Linked DNA regions of Arabidopsis thaliana. The protein of the gene in region 1 interacts with the protein of each later gene in a biochemical or structural test. Each region holds a gene or a part of one and is shown in the gene's direction. Other genes may lie near its edges. The genes, in order: TCP-1 and COP1.

Region 1 (7,797 bases):
TCAACATTTTACATATTTTTGTAACAAATTTTATCATTGGAAAGATTAAATAGCCGTTACATAAGGTAGGTGAATTTTCAATTCAAATGCATCAAAATAGCCGCTATAACCTAAGTGATAACGTTCGGAAAATGCTTTAGGATAATTCCTTTTTATTGCTTTTGAAAACGACGACGTTTCTTGTGTCGTACACGTTTTATAACCCAGACCCACGTCTCTCTCTCTCAAAGAAGAGAAGAAGAACTCTCTCTCTATCTCTATCTCTATCTCTCTTCTCCTTCTTCTTCAGTTTCGATCATTCTTGAATCTGATTCTTCTCGAGAAAAAAGCGTTTCAATTTCAGAAATTTCGACTACGATTGTTGCTTTGTTCAATTAGAAGAGGCGAAAAAGGATGGCGACGGTTAATGGGTACACAGGGAATACTCCGGCGGCGACTACACCGGCAGCCACCGGATCAAAGCAATCTGCTCCTCCGACTAAGACCGTCGATAGCCACTCCGTTCTAAAAAGGTTATTTCTTTTTTACATTTTTCCGATCTTGGAATATTCTCGCGTCCATTTAAAGGAATTAGTCTTTAGCCTCTTAATGATTAGAATCGCTGCGATTGTTTATAGAGTTGTTCATGTTTCTTTAGGTAGATTAGATTAGGTTTTGGCTCTACCCATATCCATTTCTTGTGGTCTACATGCTTTCTAGATCATTTTTAGAGAAAACGATGGATCCAAAACTGATTGTGACTTCTCTTGTTCTCTTCTGAAATGATGGGTTCTCTCTTTGTCTACCAACTGTTTGTTATAATGTCTCTAAGAGAATGATACATCAAACTTTGTATGTACTACAGATCTCAAGTACTTTCTTTTATGTACCCTTTCTTGATCAAAGCAAACAAATTCATGGTTTTGCTAATTCATTGTTTTTCCTTAATTGCAGGCTGCAATCTGAACTAATGGGATTGATGGTAAGCTATCTTTTCTCTGCATAACTGAACCTGTTGATATGGTTGGATGCTTATATAGAGGCCTTTGGGTTTATGTATTGCAGATGGGAGCTGATCCGGGGATATCTGCGTTTCCAGAGGAAGACAACATATTTTGCTGGAAAGGAACAATTACAGGAAGCAAAGATACTGTGTTCGAAGGAACTGAGTACAGACTCTCACTCACTTTCTCTAACGATTATCCTTTTAAGTCTCCCAAAGTTAAGTTTGAGACATGCTGCTTCCACCCCAATGTGGATCTCTATGGCAATATTTGCTTGGACATTCTTCAGGTACATAACAATCACTTGCTCTTTCTACTTGTGTTACTGTAAATCCCATGGAATCACATATCAGAGAAGCAGTACTTAAAACAGAATCTGTTTTCACATCTTTTGTAGGATAAATGGTCATCTGCTTATGATGTGAGGACGATATTACTCTCAATTCAAAGCCTTCTCGGAGGTAAACTCTATGGCTGATATAACTGTTGAGGTTACTTATGAAGAATTTCTCTGTTGGTTTGATCCAGTATCTGATTTTTCCTGTTTTGTTTTAATTGATCAGAACCGAACATCAGCTCACCATTGAACAATCAAGCGGCTCAGCTTTGGAGCAATCAAGAAGGTAAAATTGCAATAGTTATCAGATTACACATCTCTGGACGTCTCCATTTTTCGATTCATAATGATATTCGTCTTCTTGAACTTGTAATGTTATACAGAGTACAGGAAGATGGTTGAGAAGCTCTACAAGCCTTTAAACGCATGATTCTCAAAAATCACTGTAACTGATTTTAAAATCTCAACTGTATTGGATCATATCTCTTTTACTTTTATAATCTCAATTTGAGCCAATATTAGCAATCAAACTCTACCTTTATTACAGTTCCACAATCACCACCTATATCTCTTCCGTAACTGAGATTTGAGAAGTTCATAATAGTAACTCTGAAATGTTGTAGTAAGTATCTGAAAGTATAATACAAAAAAAAGTTTCTGAACTATTGAAAAATCCAGAAACCAAAGTTCCCCACGAGAGAAGTAAGACTCAAACATGTGAAACGTTGGCACCGGACAAAGTACTGAAGACTAATGAAATGTTTTGAAATTGACATTTATGGCCTTCTTTTTAAATCCCCAAGCCCATAATTCGTGCTTAACTCTTTATTACAAATGGGCTTTGAGGGTATATATTATTTCGGCCCAATATAAAAACGTCGCCGCTTCATTCATACCCTGGCCGTACATCCCAGAAACCTTGAAAGTTAAAAACCCGCCGGAGTCTCTCACTCTCACAAACTTTTGAGAAGCATTTTCGCTTCAATTCAATAAAAGGCGAAAAATCTCTCACTGCACTTTATCTCGAGAGCTCAGATCTCCGATCTAGAGCCTTTCGCTTCTCCTCTTCTGTTCATATAACAACTGAATAATGTCGATCTCCGCCCAAAATCCGGATATTTCCGGCGATAGACAATCCGGCCAAGATGTTCGTACTCAGAACGGTACTACTACTCTCCATCGCTTCCTCTTACGTCTATTTCCTATCTCTTCTCATTACTAAACTGTTCACTTTGTTTTCATCGCAAATTTGTTTCGATCTCTAGCTAGGGTTTGTTTTGAATCTATTCTTTTAGATGTTTTGTGGTTATTGACTCGTATTTTATATACTCTATTTGCAGTGATGGCTTGTCAAGCTGTTTCTAATATTGTTAAGACCTCACTTGGTCCCGTCGGCCTCGACAAGGTTTGGTTTCTGATTTGCATCTGTGTATATATATTCTGCTAGCTTTCTTTTTTATATCTTAGATGCATCTTGGCAACAGTTGTGTTTAGTTTTAGGTTACTTTTAGACCTAACCATTTCTAGTTTTATTCTAAATCTGCTCGATATTGTCCTTTGTATTTTCGTTCCTAGTTCCTCCAATCGTGTTTCATGTTATGTTGGCTTGTGTTTCAGATGTTGGTGGATGATATTGGTGATGTGACTATTACAAATGATGGTGCTACTATTCTTAGGATGTTGGAGGTCGAGCACCCTGCTGCTAAGGTAATTTATGCAAATGTGATTGTTATACGTATTTTCTTATCATCATTTCAAAACACTGGTTATGAATTATTAGTTACTCAGTTCTCTAATCTGTCTACTTTTGTTGTGACAGGTTCTTGTCGAGTTAGCTGAACTTCAAGATAGAGAAGTCGGTGATGGGACTACATCTGTTGTTATTGTAGCTGCTGAGTTGTTGAAGGTTAGTTTGATTACTGTTTTCTTTGGTTTTGGTTTTCCTAGAGTTGGGAGATTTTTCACATGGTAACTATTGCTTGATGATTAATGGGTCTTATGTATATATTTGCAGAGGGCAAATGATTTGGTCAGGAACAAAATACATCCAACATCAATTATCAGTGGATATAGGGTAAGCTGCGACTTTAATTTCATATGTTGTAACCTGCACTGCAGAAGTGTTTCCAGTGTGTTCATTATCTTTTTTACTGTTGACAGCTAGCAATGAGAGAATCTTGCAAATACATAGAAGAGAAGTTGGTGACCAAGGTTAGTCCTCGTGTGATGGTCTATAGTCTTGCCTCTTAGAGGAAATTTTCCTCTCTTCATACAATTTTTTTGTGTCAGTATAATTGGGAAAGCTCACTGTACTGTCTGTCTCTTCCCCTTTAGTTAATTACTTTTTTTTTTGCGTTTTATAGGTCGAAAAGCTTGGGAAAGTTCCATTGATAAACTGTGCCAAAACCAGCATGTCCTCCAAACTGATATCTGGTGACAGCGACTTCTTTGCCAATTTGGTACGCTTCCAGTTCTCCTTACTAAGCAATAACGTGGAAATTCATTAAAACATTAGTGTTATTAAAACCTATGTTTATTCTTGGTTTTTTCTTGGGGGACTCTTTTCTACTTAAATCTGGTTTATCTTGCAATAATACCCTAGTCATTGCATGTGGCTGAACTGTTATAATCACATTTCTTTTAAAGGTTGTGGAAGCCGTTCTTTCAGTAAAGATGACAAATCAGCGGGGAGAGATAAAATACCCTATCAAGGTCTGTTAATGCTTCTCTGTCAAAGTTTCAAACATAAAGATCTGTAGTGAGGATGATATTTTTATGCTTAAACGCTTATTCTTACCGCATTGTAGGGCATTAATATTCTGAAAGCTCATGGACAAAGTGCAAGAGACAGCTATTTGTTAAATGGATATGCACTCAATACTGGTCGTGCTGCCCAAGGGATGCCATTACGAGTGTCCCCAGCAAAGATTGCTTGCCTTGACTTCAATCTGCAGAAGACAAAAATGCAGCTGGGTGTCCAAGTTGTTGTTAATGACCCACGAGAACTTGAAAAGATCCGTCAAAGGTAGTTTTCGCAGTTATACACTTTTCCCTGAATTCCTTACATTCAGAGTGCTTGCTTTTTTCCTACCAAATGTCATTCGGTTTGTTCTCTTGATCCTTGGGTGAAGAAGTATTTGCATTCTCCAATTTCCGGGTGTATGCGATATGGAAAGCTTAATAAATTTGCTTTACTGTACACTTGTAGCTCATGTTATCTGTGTTCCATACAGAGTTTTTTAATATGTTGCTGAATATTTGTTTCCACAGAGAAGCTGACATGACAAAAGAGCGGATAGAGAAACTTCTCAAAGCTGGGGCCAATGTAATTCTGACCACAAAGGGGATTGACGACATGGCACTTAAAGTGAGAATGAAAACCAATGATTTTCTCTATCGTTTACACATAACTTAGTTTTTGAAGTATTCAAGTTTAGTTGCGTTTATGTTTGGTTCACCGTAATGGATTCTCATTTCTCTTGTTTTTATTTCAGTACTTTGTAGAGGCAGGAGCTATTGCTGTTAGGCGTGTGCGCAAAGAAGACATGCGTCATGTTGCCAAGGCGACAGGAGCGACTCTGGTACTTCCTGCGCTAGGCTTTTTCAATACCCATGTTGTCAAACTAAAATTTCAACTAATATATTTATCCTTTATTTTAGGTCACCACTTTTGCTGACATGGAGGGCGAAGAAACATTTGATCCAGCTCACCTTGGATCTGCTGATGAGGTTGTTGAAGAGAGAATCGCAGATGATGATGTTATATTGATAAAGGGAACCAAAACAAGTAGTGCGGTATGCCATTCTCTCAGCAATGAATCTTACTTGATTGCTGACAGTACTATATCACACAAAATCAATCTTAAGTATATTTCTTTTAAAGTTGTTTAACATATCACACAGAGTTTTGTCTAGGTTTTTCATGTTTATAAGTGTTTTTTTCCTGTTAGGTCTCGTTGATCTTAAGAGGTGCAAATGACTACATGCTTGATGAGATGGAGAGAGCACTGCATGACGCTTTATGTATTGTCAAGAGGACCCTTGAGTCCAACACGGTAACATTCCTTTACTTTCTGTTAGACATACTCCTTGCATTTAGCAAAGAACAAACATTACATTTCTTGTTTCCTTGTCAAACAGGTGGTTGCGGGTGGAGGTGCAGTTGAATCAGCATTGTCTGTGTATCTGGAGCACCTTGCTACAACCTTGGGCTCTCGCGAACAATTGGCCATCGCTGAATTTGCTGATGCGCTATTGATTATACCAAAGGTGCGACCTACAAACCTATTTCATCAATAAAAATCTGTCTTTTGTTCTTATCTTATAATCCAACGTTTATCATCCTGTTATCAGGTGCTTGCAGTAAACGCTGCTAAGGATGCAACCGAATTGGTAGCTAAACTAAGAGCGTACCACCACACTGCACAAACCAAGGCTGATAAGAAGCACTATTCAAGGTGATAAGCAATCTGTTTGTGTCTTTTCCCTTTGAGGTTCTGTTTGAAAATGTTATATGCTCATTGGCTTCATGTTGAGAAAACGTAAATGCAGCATGGGACTTGACCTCGTAAACGGAACCATCCGCAACAATTTGGAAGCTGGAGTGATCGAACCAGCTATGAGCAAAGTGAAAATTATCCAGGTAAAAGGCACTTGGCTTTACATGAACTAGAATATTAAAAAATCAAGTAATCTCTTAAATTTTAAAGGAGCTTTGTTTTGTGACCAGTTTGCAACAGAGGCAGCCATAACGATTCTACGAATTGACGACATGATCAAACTGGTGAAGGATGAGAGCCAAGGCGAAGAATAAGCAAAGCTCAGCTCCTCTTTATCCGCCTTATCATCCTTAGTGTGTGTTTTTGTCCGCATTTTCAGCTCCTCTTTAGCTTCTTTTTTGCGCTGTAACAATGTAGCCTCTGAAAGAGCTGTTTCTGTTTATTTTTCAACTCTCTCGTTTCTTGCTCACTTTTTACTTCAAGAAATTTTTGCTTTTTGTCGGGTAACGCATGTAATGAAGTTGGGCTTTCGTCTCTTACTGTTTGAATTTATGGTGTAGTTTTTGAATGTCCTCTCTCACACAATGACACAAAGATTTATCCCCAAAAGATTAGGTTTCACTGTTCTGTATTAATTCCGTTGCACTAACAAGTCATTTTTTGTTGTTGTAAATAAACTGTAATTTACTTAATCATGAGTAGAAGAAACTAAAAAGTGCCTACAATATTTACACAAACCTACATGCTTCTAAAACAATTGGCTATATACATTGTAAATATGTACACAAATTATTCATACGGATGGTATTGTTTGAACACTTTGTGACGAAGCCAGCAACAATGCAGAGCCAATGCTGGAACCATCTTCCATGGCCTTCACCACTACGTGTTGAGCCACATCTTCTCCCAGTATATCTCTCAGAGCTTCGTCCATATATTCTCTGAACATCCTGTAGTTCAAATACAGACCTCCTTCAACTGCCACCACTGTTCTTCTCATTATCTGCTTATCGCTTCTCCTTCCTCCTCCGCTCCCATCTCTCCCTACCTTCTTCAAGATTCCTGCAATTCCTGCTGCTGCTAGCCTAGCTGCTCTGCGTGTCACTACATCGCAGATCTTCACTACAAGTTTCCTCACCTTCATTGGTACCTCTGACACCTGTGATTATGAATCAAAGATAGAGAGAGAGAGAGCCAAGATAATGAGCCAAGTGAACAGAACAAAACTTTGCATCACAACAAACTTGTTTGCTTACCCCTAAATCTTTCAAGATTCGTGCTACTTCTTGTAACTCGGATGTGTCATCTTCATGCATTGCTGAGACAGAATTTGTTCTGAAATTGGAGGAAAAATTTATTCAGACAAATATATACGTATAGATAAACACGAAAATCATGTTACGTAAAAGCTACTATGTGCTTTTTGAGAATTCGCAAAAGTTTATATAGGAAACGAAGTATACGTTTGGCAGTTTTTTTTTCCATTTGAAACAGAAGCAGAAGAAAACATAACGGAAATGTACCTCAGAACGAAAGGCGTGGATAAAATGGATGAGATAGGTCCAAAGATGTCGGACTCTTGTGACATTCGAAGAATTACTCTGCGGACAATGTCGCCCAGATACATCCCTCCTATCATCTTCTCAAAGCCCTATAAAACAATACCCACCAAATTGATTACCTGATAAAAAATAACTTGAAAACATGATAAAACGAAACAAGAGAAAGGAAACTTCGCAAAATATTACCATGTCATTTGAATTCATACTCTCTGCATCCAACTCAAGGTCATATGAAGTTCTTGGCAGACGAGATGACCAAAAGTTTCCCCACTCCATATTGACCACCTAACACAAAATAACAAAGTATCATAAAGAAGAAAAAATCAAGTCTTTTAAATTGAATCCTGTGGAATCTAAACTTTGATGGCTGGTTTCTAAGGATGAACTATGTAACGATTCTTAATAGTTATTACCAT
Region 2 (8,919 bases), on another chromosome or scaffold:
AGCCAGAACTACCTTAATCCAGTCGATTTGCCGTGGTGTCTCAACACTCTGATTGGCTTTCAGGAATTCAATAACTGGACCAGGTTCTAAGATCATTGTTGTTGACACATCTGCAAACCATCACAAAACGAAAACAGTTTTGCTTATTAATAAAACTATCCACAATTAAGACAAGTTTATGAAAGCTGGAGATGAGAAAGGTATACTGAAAAATACCAATGTTAAGCGAGAGTCCTCCATGAGTTGGACGAAAGCTCGAATGTAAACCTCGAATACCTATAACACCTCCTCCAACTTTCATGGGGTGCCCATCGCTATGGAAAAATGCCTGTCTGACCAAAAGGCATCCCCTGCATTATCAACAGTTTTCTATAGTAAGCATCGAGCATGGTCACAAAATGCAAATAGTTGTACATTGATTAAATTTCACCAACAAAGTGAAAATATGATAATAAAAATTGGTCCATTAGAACGTAGAGTATCTATTTTAATAAAAATATAAACTGCACAAAAGCAAACAGATAGAAAGATTTACCTTTCAGCTGCTTGCTGCCTCAGTACAATGTCAAGCACTCTAAGTGCATCCTGAGCACTCTTATCTGGTGTATAAGCTCCTCTCTGAGTGCCAAGAACAGTCTTCAACGGTATTTCTGCAGCATAATGTATCTGAACCTTGTAACTTCTTGGCAAGAAAGAACGTTTTGATCGCTTGCAAGTACCGGAAGAACTACCACCATCAGAGACACCACAATCACTATAAACTTAACAAGACTGCGTTAGTTAGAAGATCAACAAGATCTATCTTGACACCTTGAAACGATTAAATATCAATCCAGATAAGAGGGACATACCGTTTTGAAAATGACCCTTCCACGATGACTAGAAAGTCAAATTCGTTCTGTGGTAGAGGACCAACAGTATATAAAGTCTTCTCTCCATCATATGCCAACCTTTTACCATCAAGATCAGAAGAGTAAGTCTTGAATAGTTGGTCCATAAGCTTTCTGCTTATTCCTGTCCCATCAACAGCATCACCGTTTTCTGTGGTGATACTAACCTGCAAAAAAGGTACCGATATGTCAAACATCTCACACACGCACAGACACTGATGAAAGAATGCAGAAAAGTGACTAATGAATCTTACAGTGTACTGGTAAAATACTACATCCGGCTGTCTCACAGAAACATTAAAGTGATTGGTGCACAATTCTATTGGGTTGCCTGTGGTTCCAACCCCACGTCTAGTTGTGATGTCATAATCTCGATGGCTGGGCTGTTCTGGTTCTATACTTATGGGTGACAGTGGCAGAGATGAAGATGTCTCCATCCTTCCAGGGGAAAATAATCTGCAAGAGAGAAAAGTGGAGGTTGGTTACAGTGTGCAAAAACCAGTCCAAAACACAATGCTCAGGAGACTAAGAAAGAAAAGAAAAACACCAAATTAAGAAGACAACTCCAAAAGGTAAAAAGCTAAAAACTTTACCACCATTGTCGTTCTAAGATTTTAATTTCTGGGCATATCCTGCTAAATCGCGAGAAATGGTATAAATTTCAGATGAGGAACAAACTTAATCTGGAAAAAAAATGGCACCTTTAACTGTTGGTCGCCTTCAAAATTGAGAAACATTACACAAACAAAAACTCATTCGAGTGTGTCATACAGTAGCATAACAAGACTTTCAAGAGAGAAACAACGCAGCCAAAACCATACAACTATCAACAGACAAATCCTAGCTTCATGCAAATTCTCCGAAAGAGAGACAAAAACAAAACCTAGCTCCGAATCAACAACAATTACAACAGCGATATCTAGTGAAAACAGCGCACCTTTGAAAGAATTAAGAAGAGGATTTCTAGGGTTCCGGTGAATCAAAGAGAGGAATTTATTTAGCTCATTTCTCTTCTCCGTCACAGTCTCTTTGGGTTTCCCAGACAAGCAAAAGAATGGAGGGAACGTTTCCAGTGATGGGAAAATTAAAATATATTTCACTTTTCAGTCATTTTTTACAGTAACAAAATTTAAGAACTGAAATAAAAATGGTTTATTCCAAAATTATTAAACCGAATCCTTCAAAACTTATTCTATTTCTAGGGTTATGCTCCGGTTGAATGGATTGAAATTCCCAACTTATTCATTTCAAATAGTAAGAAATAAAATGAATGGTTGTAAGAAATTAAATTAGACCGTCGTGGTAATTGTAAGAAATTTCATTGAACCGGACTATAAATTAGAAGCCGGATAATTAAACCGTACCAGCGCTTGGAGAAACGCCAGACACACGCGCGAAAAGAAGCGCGTAGACCAGAACGTGTAGGATTTGTCACCTCAGAAAAGAACCACGGTGGATCCCACCACACCTCAGCCTCACTCCTCCTTCATCTCCGACGTCATACCCAAACCACTCTTTTCTCACAATTCCGATTTTCTCAAAAACCAAAATCACAATCGAAGAAATCTTTTGAAAGCAAAATGGAAGAGATTTCGACGGATCCGGTTGTTCCAGCGGTGAAACCTGACCCGAGAACATCTTCAGTTGGTGAAGGTGCTAATCGTCATGAAAATGACGACGGAGGAAGCGGCGGTTCTGAGATTGGAGCACCGGATCTGGATAAAGACTTGCTTTGTCCGATTTGTATGCAGATTATTAAAGATGCTTTCCTCACGGCTTGTGGTCATAGTTTCTGCTATATGTGTATCATCACACATCTTAGGAACAAGAGTGATTGTCCCTGTTGTAGCCAACACCTCACCAATAATCAGCTTTACCCTAATTTCTTGCTCGATAAGGTTTCTTTTTCTAATTTTACTCGTAATTTGTGTTTGGTCCTTAGCTTTTCAGTTCAAGTTCGGGTGTTGCTTGTTTGAGTCTTAGCTTGTAATCAAGTTTGGTTTTTGTCGTGGTTTTTGTGGAAACAAGTAAGCTAGCTTAGTCTTTAATCGATTCCAATGAACCTTGCCATTAGATTTTCTTAGGAAGGTTTTGTTTTGTTTTTGATGTGTAGTATTGTGGTAGGATTCTGCTTATTACAGCTAAATAGAAGCATGTTTATAGGAATGATAGTGTATTGAAACTATTTATCACTGGAATGCAGCTTATTATATGACGTTTATGTATCAATTGTGTAGCTATTGAAGAAAACTTCAGCTCGGCATGTGTCAAAAACTGCATCGCCCTTGGATCAGTTTCGGGAAGCACTACAAAGGGTCGGTTCTTAACAAGCTTTTTATGTTTCATTTTTTCCTCTTTAAGTTTGCTTTCTCAGAATTATTATTGGAGTAAAAAGCAATTCTAAGTCATTTCTTTTGATCAAATATTGACTTCCTGCGTTCATACTTAGACAGGGTTGTGATGTGTCAATTAAGGAGGTTGATAATCTTCTGACACTTCTTGCGGAAAGGAAGAGAAAAATGGAACAGGAAGAAGCTGAGAGGAACATGCAGATACTTTTGGACTTTTTGCATTGTCTAAGGAAGCAAAAAGTTGATGAACTAAATGAGGTTGGTTTGTCTGAATTATGGAGTAGCATTGGGCTACCTATTGATAATTATTCTCGTTGCTCTTCATTCCATTTGCTTCAAAATCTTCACTGGGTTTAGACTGTATAGTTGTTGTAAAAGAAAGCCATAAACCATGTTTCTATCAATAGATGTATGATCTATCCAACTATTCATGAGACGTATAACCCCTGAATGTTAGATGAGATCTCAGAATATTATAGAATTCTGTCATTTATGTCTTCTCTATCTTAATGTAGGTGCAAACTGATCTCCAGTATATTAAAGAAGATATAAATGCCGTTGAGAGACATAGAATAGATTTATACCGAGCTAGGGACAGATATTCTGTAAAGTTGCGGATGCTCGGAGATGATCCAAGCACAAGAAATGCATGGCCACATGAGAAGAACCAGATTGGTTTCAACTCCAATTCTCTCAGCATAAGAGGAGGAAATTTTGTAGGCAATTATCAAAACAAAAAGGTAGAGGGGAAGGCACAAGGAAGCTCTCATGGGCTACCAAAGAAGGATGCGCTGAGTGGGTCAGATTCGCAAAGTTTGAATCAGTCAACTGTCTCAATGGCTAGAAAGAAACGGATTCATGCTCAGGTTTGTTCCTCCTTGTCTACTCAACATCTTTATGCTGAAATGGTAAAAGGACAATGGCATTAAAGTTTAAGATATTTGTCTATTAAAGAATAAGAATAATTACTACAATTAGGCCCCAGTGATTGTGTTACAGTTACTACCATGCCTAGCTACTCAGCTCTTGGTCATCTGGATTGACAGCTCGAGAAATTGAAAGTGGTTGTGGGTAGAGGATGAATCTTCTTACGGAAAAGATACCTTAGATTAAGGCCCACATTTTTGGTGGTCTTTATAAAAAGCCGATTGGACTTCAGAGAGATTGATTTCGTATTGTTTGCACGTAAAAGTAGAAATAGCTTTCTGGACTTTATATCTACTGCTTAGTGATAGTAGCCGCTTCTTGTCTCTCTGGTACTATAGCAACAAAAAGTCACTATGTTCTCTAGACACACTAACAGTTCTGTGAATACTATGCAATCACAATTATAGTAGTTTTCTTGAAAAAACCTGCATGGTCCTTTAATCTCTCTGTAACTGCTTGTTGATATATGCACAGATTGCCTAATTCTGTTAAAGTGTCTTGTCTTGTAGTTCAATGATTTACAAGAATGTTACCTCCAAAAGCGGCGTCAGTTGGCAGACCAACCAAATAGTAAACAAGAAAATGATAAGAGTGTAGTACGGAGGGAAGGCTATAGCAACGGCCTTGCAGATTTTCAATCTGTGTTGACTACCTTCACTCGCTACAGGTAGAGGAGTGACTATCCCTTTTCAATCGGTCTAGCCGTACATAAAGAGTGTTTTCGAATTAGTTGGGGTTTTAATTGCACTCTTTATTCACAGTCGTCTAAGAGTTATAGCAGAAATCCGGCATGGGGATATATTTCATTCAGCCAACATTGTATCAAGGTGAATTTTCTATTCCTTGTTCGTTGATCAGATAACAGATGATAGGTACCAAAAGAATGTCTCCGAATATATCAAAATAGACCCTTAAGTGATTAAGTTTTGTTTAATGTATTGATAGACGCAATTATTACTATGGGATTCGTTGCTGTGTAATTCTAAGCCAGTGAATAGTATGAAGATAAAACTGCTGACATGGTAGGGAGAAGGTTGTGTAGTCAGCAGGCCACTTGAGGAGAATTTTCTAAAAGATGGAACACTATGTTATCCTTATCCATGTCGGAATATATAGAATCGGTTTGCGATCTTTTATATGAAAGTGTCTCTTCTCAATGAAGAGACGAAAGATATATATTTTTAGTTTATGGTCTGGGAGCTCCGGGGCTCATATCTTTTTCTCTCTATGTGCTTTGGTTTATGGTCTTCCATAGTTTACATGCTTTATGCTTTGCCTGGACCTCTAGTTTACCTGTAATTTGATGTACCATCTTACTGATTTTGCTGATGAAGAGGGTGCTGTTCCTTTTCAGCATAGAGTTTGATCGTGATGATGAGCTGTTTGCCACTGCTGGTGTTTCTAGATGTATAAAGGTTTTTGACTTCTCTTCGGTACGTTCATAAATCTTGGAGTGCATTCAATTACATACCAATTGAATCTTCTTGTCCAACCTTATGCTTTTGTGAAACTGATCATGCATCTCAATTCTAAGAAAGCTTCGTTGATAATGAAACTAAGTTATGCTCTTGGGAAATTCTAGCTTTGATGCAAGATAGCCATTTTACACTTTTGTATTGCGTAGAAGAATATAAATCAAAGCTAATCAAATTTTTGGTTTTAATTTTCTGTTTTATCCAATGGACCACGCTGAACTGATTGATTATCGGCTGCTACTTTTCAGGTTGTAAATGAACCAGCAGATATGCAGTGTCCGATTGTGGAGATGTCAACTCGGTCTAAACTTAGTTGCTTGAGTTGGAATAAGCATGAAAAAAATCACATAGCAAGCAGTGATTATGAAGGAATAGTAACAGTGTGGGATGTAACTACTAGGCAGGTGAGTACTTTACCCAAAGTATCTAACATCGCACCTATAAGATATTCATCTCATGAATTCTGCAGCGTATTTGAATTTTTATGTAAACTGAGGCAGAGTCTTATGGAGTATGAAGAGCACGAAAAACGTGCCTGGAGTGTTGACTTTTCACGAACAGAACCATCAATGCTTGTATCTGGTAGTGACGACTGCAAGGTAAATATCTCCATATTTTCCGTTATCACCTTTCATCTCACATTGGGCTATGTCTCATATAAAAAGAATACTACTTTTAGATATCTCCTAGCTCTTATAACTAACTTGGTCACGGATTTGTCTAATTTCTACGACGAACTAAAGAGACATATTGTGAAACAAAACTGGAGAATCTCCTACTTGCTCATTAGTACATTGTGTTCTCATGAATCTTTTCTACTACTTCTTAAACTTTTCTTTGAGTTGTTCTTCCCAACTTGGGGATTGGTCATATGTAGCCCTTCCTACATTGAATGTTTGTTGGTTTCTTAAATTTTCAGCAAAATTTTCCCCTTAGTGTATCTGTGGTGGCTATACATTAGGAAACAAACGAAACTGGACACTTGTATATAGTAGATTTTACCTTGAAATTTTGTAGCTTCATTTGTCCAAATTTAATTAAACGTTATTGAAAAATTCACTGGATTTCTAATTCTGACAAAAGCATATTATACCAGTGGGCTCCTTTTAAGTCAATTCACTACTAGTTAATCCTCAACCATGCATTATTGCATCTGTTAAATCATGTCTCATAGATTAACCAATTGTGCTGTGTGTTTGATCCAGGTTAAAGTTTGGTGCACGAGGCAGGAAGCAAGTGTGATTAATATTGATATGAAAGCAAACATATGTTGTGTCAAGTACAATCCTGGCTCAAGCAACTACATTGCGGTATATACTTCCACGCCTCAACTTTGCATCTCACATTTATTCGCTACCACTCATGATCAGCATGACACTATCACACGTCTCTAGATATAATCTTTAATTAGATAGAGAGACTTAGACGTTTAAGCCTGTTGACTTATCACAGGTCGGATCAGCTGATCATCACATCCATTATTACGATCTAAGAAACATAAGCCAACCACTTCATGTCTTCAGTGGACACAAGAAAGCAGTTTCCTATGTTAAATTTTTGTCCAACAACGAGCTCGCTTCTGCGTCCACAGATAGCACACTACGCTTATGGGATGTCAAAGACAACTTGCCAGTTAGATTACTGCCCGAGCCAATCTTGCAGATTCAGTCAAAAAGAAAAACTTGTCTTGACTATGTTGTTCAATTTTACTTTTCAGGTTCGAACATTCAGAGGACATACTAACGAGAAGAACTTTGTGGGTCTCACAGTGAACAGCGAGTATCTCGCCTGTGGAAGCGAGACAAACGAAGTATATGTATATCACAAGGTTCACAAATCCGAAACCTCTGCTCTCAACTTTAGCATTTTTCATTCATGATTCACAGATTTTCAACCTGTCGTTGCTCAAGTATTTTAAAATGTGAATGATGCGATGCAGGAAATCACGAGACCCGTGACATCGCACAGATTTGGATCGCCAGACATGGACGATGCAGAGGAAGAGGCAGGTTCCTACTTTATTAGTGCGGTTTGCTGGAAGAGTGATAGTCCCACGATGTTGACTGCGAATAGTCAAGGAACCATCAAAGTTCTGGTACTCGCTGCGTGATTCTAGTAGACATTACAAAAGATCTTATAGCTTCGTGAATCAATAAAAACAAATTTGCCGTCTATGTTCTTTAGTGGGAGTTACATATAGAGAGAGAACAATTTATTAAAAGTAGGGTTCATCATTTGGAAAGCAACTTTGTATTATTATGCTTGCCTTGGAACACTCCTCAAGAAGAATTTGTATCAGTGATGTAGATATGTCTTACGGTTTCTTAGCTTCTACTTTATATAATTAAATGTTAGAATCAAAATGCGGTGATGTGAATCGGTCATGAAAAGTCAAACCTTGGCTTATACAAAAGGTCCGACCCATGCAATAAGTCATTAGTATGTTCATGTAGCAAGATCATTGAAAAAAAAAAATCATTTTATAATGTAAAATTCATGAGAATTGACGAATTTGTGTCATAAGTGAAATTATATACAATTACTTAACACCTCTAAATTAACTCATAACAAAGTGATTGTGTGACACATTTTCATAAATTGGTCGTATCAATACTATAAGAGTAACCCTTTTAAATTTGGATACGCAACTAGGGATGGCATGATGTCTATATAAAATCATGCATGCTTTGTGAAGTTTAAATCACATGGCCAAACATTTTAGTTTTCGTCTTTTGTTTTCGTTCCTAAAAACGTTACATACTTCACTTGGTCATCTTAGTCATAATAATTAGGTTAGGTGGCTTAATAAAAGAATGCTATTTACAGGTTTTTCTAATTCCCTAAGTTACAAGTCATTGACTTTGTAAACAATCTCTTTTGAGTGGAAAGAACGACTTTTTCACAACGAATTGGACACACTAATGTGTTTCTTCCCTTTAAGCAACCATAGCCATCAAATCCTAGTTTTCTTTCTATTAAATAACTACTTTCATACAACATTTTTTGTTAATTGATATTCTACACATATAATTCGATACCTATCCTATTTTTTAAAAAATAACCGCGAATTCGGGTCTAAATCTTAGTCTCTGTATATTCAGATTCAATTTTTAGTCTATTTCTTTTAGAAATTATTTGCTAGCGAAATACATCTCTTCCCAAAAAAAATTATATTAAACTAGTCTTAAAAAAATTACAATTTTTTGTACGTTTTAATTTATAATTGCTTATAATATACATCTTATAAACTCGAAACAACAACTTAAATTTATCGTA

The links.
Region 2: the proteins of TCP-1 (region 1) and COP1 form a complex in vitro, tested with the Arabidopsis thaliana proteins (one study listed by BioGRID).

What each region holds. Positions count from the first base shown.
Region 1 is NC_003074.8:6,996,880-7,004,676, reverse strand, and holds TCP-1 (T-complex protein 1 alpha subunit), read left to right. Parts: upstream 1-2,241; 5' UTR 2,242-2,410; coding exon 2,411-2,483; intron 2,484-2,660; coding exon 2,661-2,725; intron 2,726-2,937; coding exon 2,938-3,027; intron 3,028-3,139; coding exon 3,140-3,226; intron 3,227-3,334; coding exon 3,335-3,394; intron 3,395-3,480; coding exon 3,481-3,531; intron 3,532-3,683; coding exon 3,684-3,779; intron 3,780-3,966; coding exon 3,967-4,032; intron 4,033-4,127; coding exon 4,128-4,345; intron 4,346-4,590; coding exon 4,591-4,687; intron 4,688-4,814; coding exon 4,815-4,901; intron 4,902-4,980; coding exon 4,981-5,115; intron 5,116-5,270; coding exon 5,271-5,375; intron 5,376-5,460; coding exon 5,461-5,589; intron 5,590-5,673; coding exon 5,674-5,777; intron 5,778-5,871; coding exon 5,872-5,962; intron 5,963-6,049; coding exon 6,050-6,133; 3' UTR 6,134-6,518; downstream 6,519-7,797. Other genes in the region: UBC19 (ubiquitin-conjugating enzyme19), read left to right, coding at 394-512, 934-961, 1,045-1,272, 1,381-1,444, 1,547-1,606, 1,704-1,750; ATHXK4 (Hexokinase), read right to left, coding at 6,613-6,978, 7,076-7,154, 7,343-7,470, 7,568-7,666, 7,795-7,797.
Region 2 is NC_003071.7:13,975,530-13,984,448, forward strand, and holds COP1 (Transducin/WD40 repeat-like superfamily protein), read left to right. Parts: upstream 1-2,351; 5' UTR 2,352-2,470; coding exon 2,471-2,788; intron 2,789-3,127; coding exon 3,128-3,205; intron 3,206-3,339; coding exon of another isoform or gene 3,340-3,343; coding exon 3,344-3,499; intron 3,500-3,756; coding exon 3,757-4,107; intron 4,108-4,677; coding exon 4,678-4,835; intron 4,836-4,929; coding exon 4,930-4,995; intron 4,996-5,522; coding exon 5,523-5,601; intron 5,602-5,891; coding exon 5,892-6,047; intron 6,048-6,143; coding exon 6,144-6,242; intron 6,243-6,848; coding exon 6,849-6,953; intron 6,954-7,095; coding exon 7,096-7,275; intron 7,276-7,360; coding exon 7,361-7,471; intron 7,472-7,582; coding exon 7,583-7,753; 3' UTR 7,754-8,080; downstream 8,081-8,919. Other genes in the region: AGO6 (Argonaute family protein), read right to left, coding at 13-110, 217-350, 536-754, 852-1,057, 1,145-1,327. UniProt on the Arabidopsis thaliana protein: E3 ubiquitin-protein ligase that acts as a repressor of photomorphogenesis and as an activator of etiolation in darkness.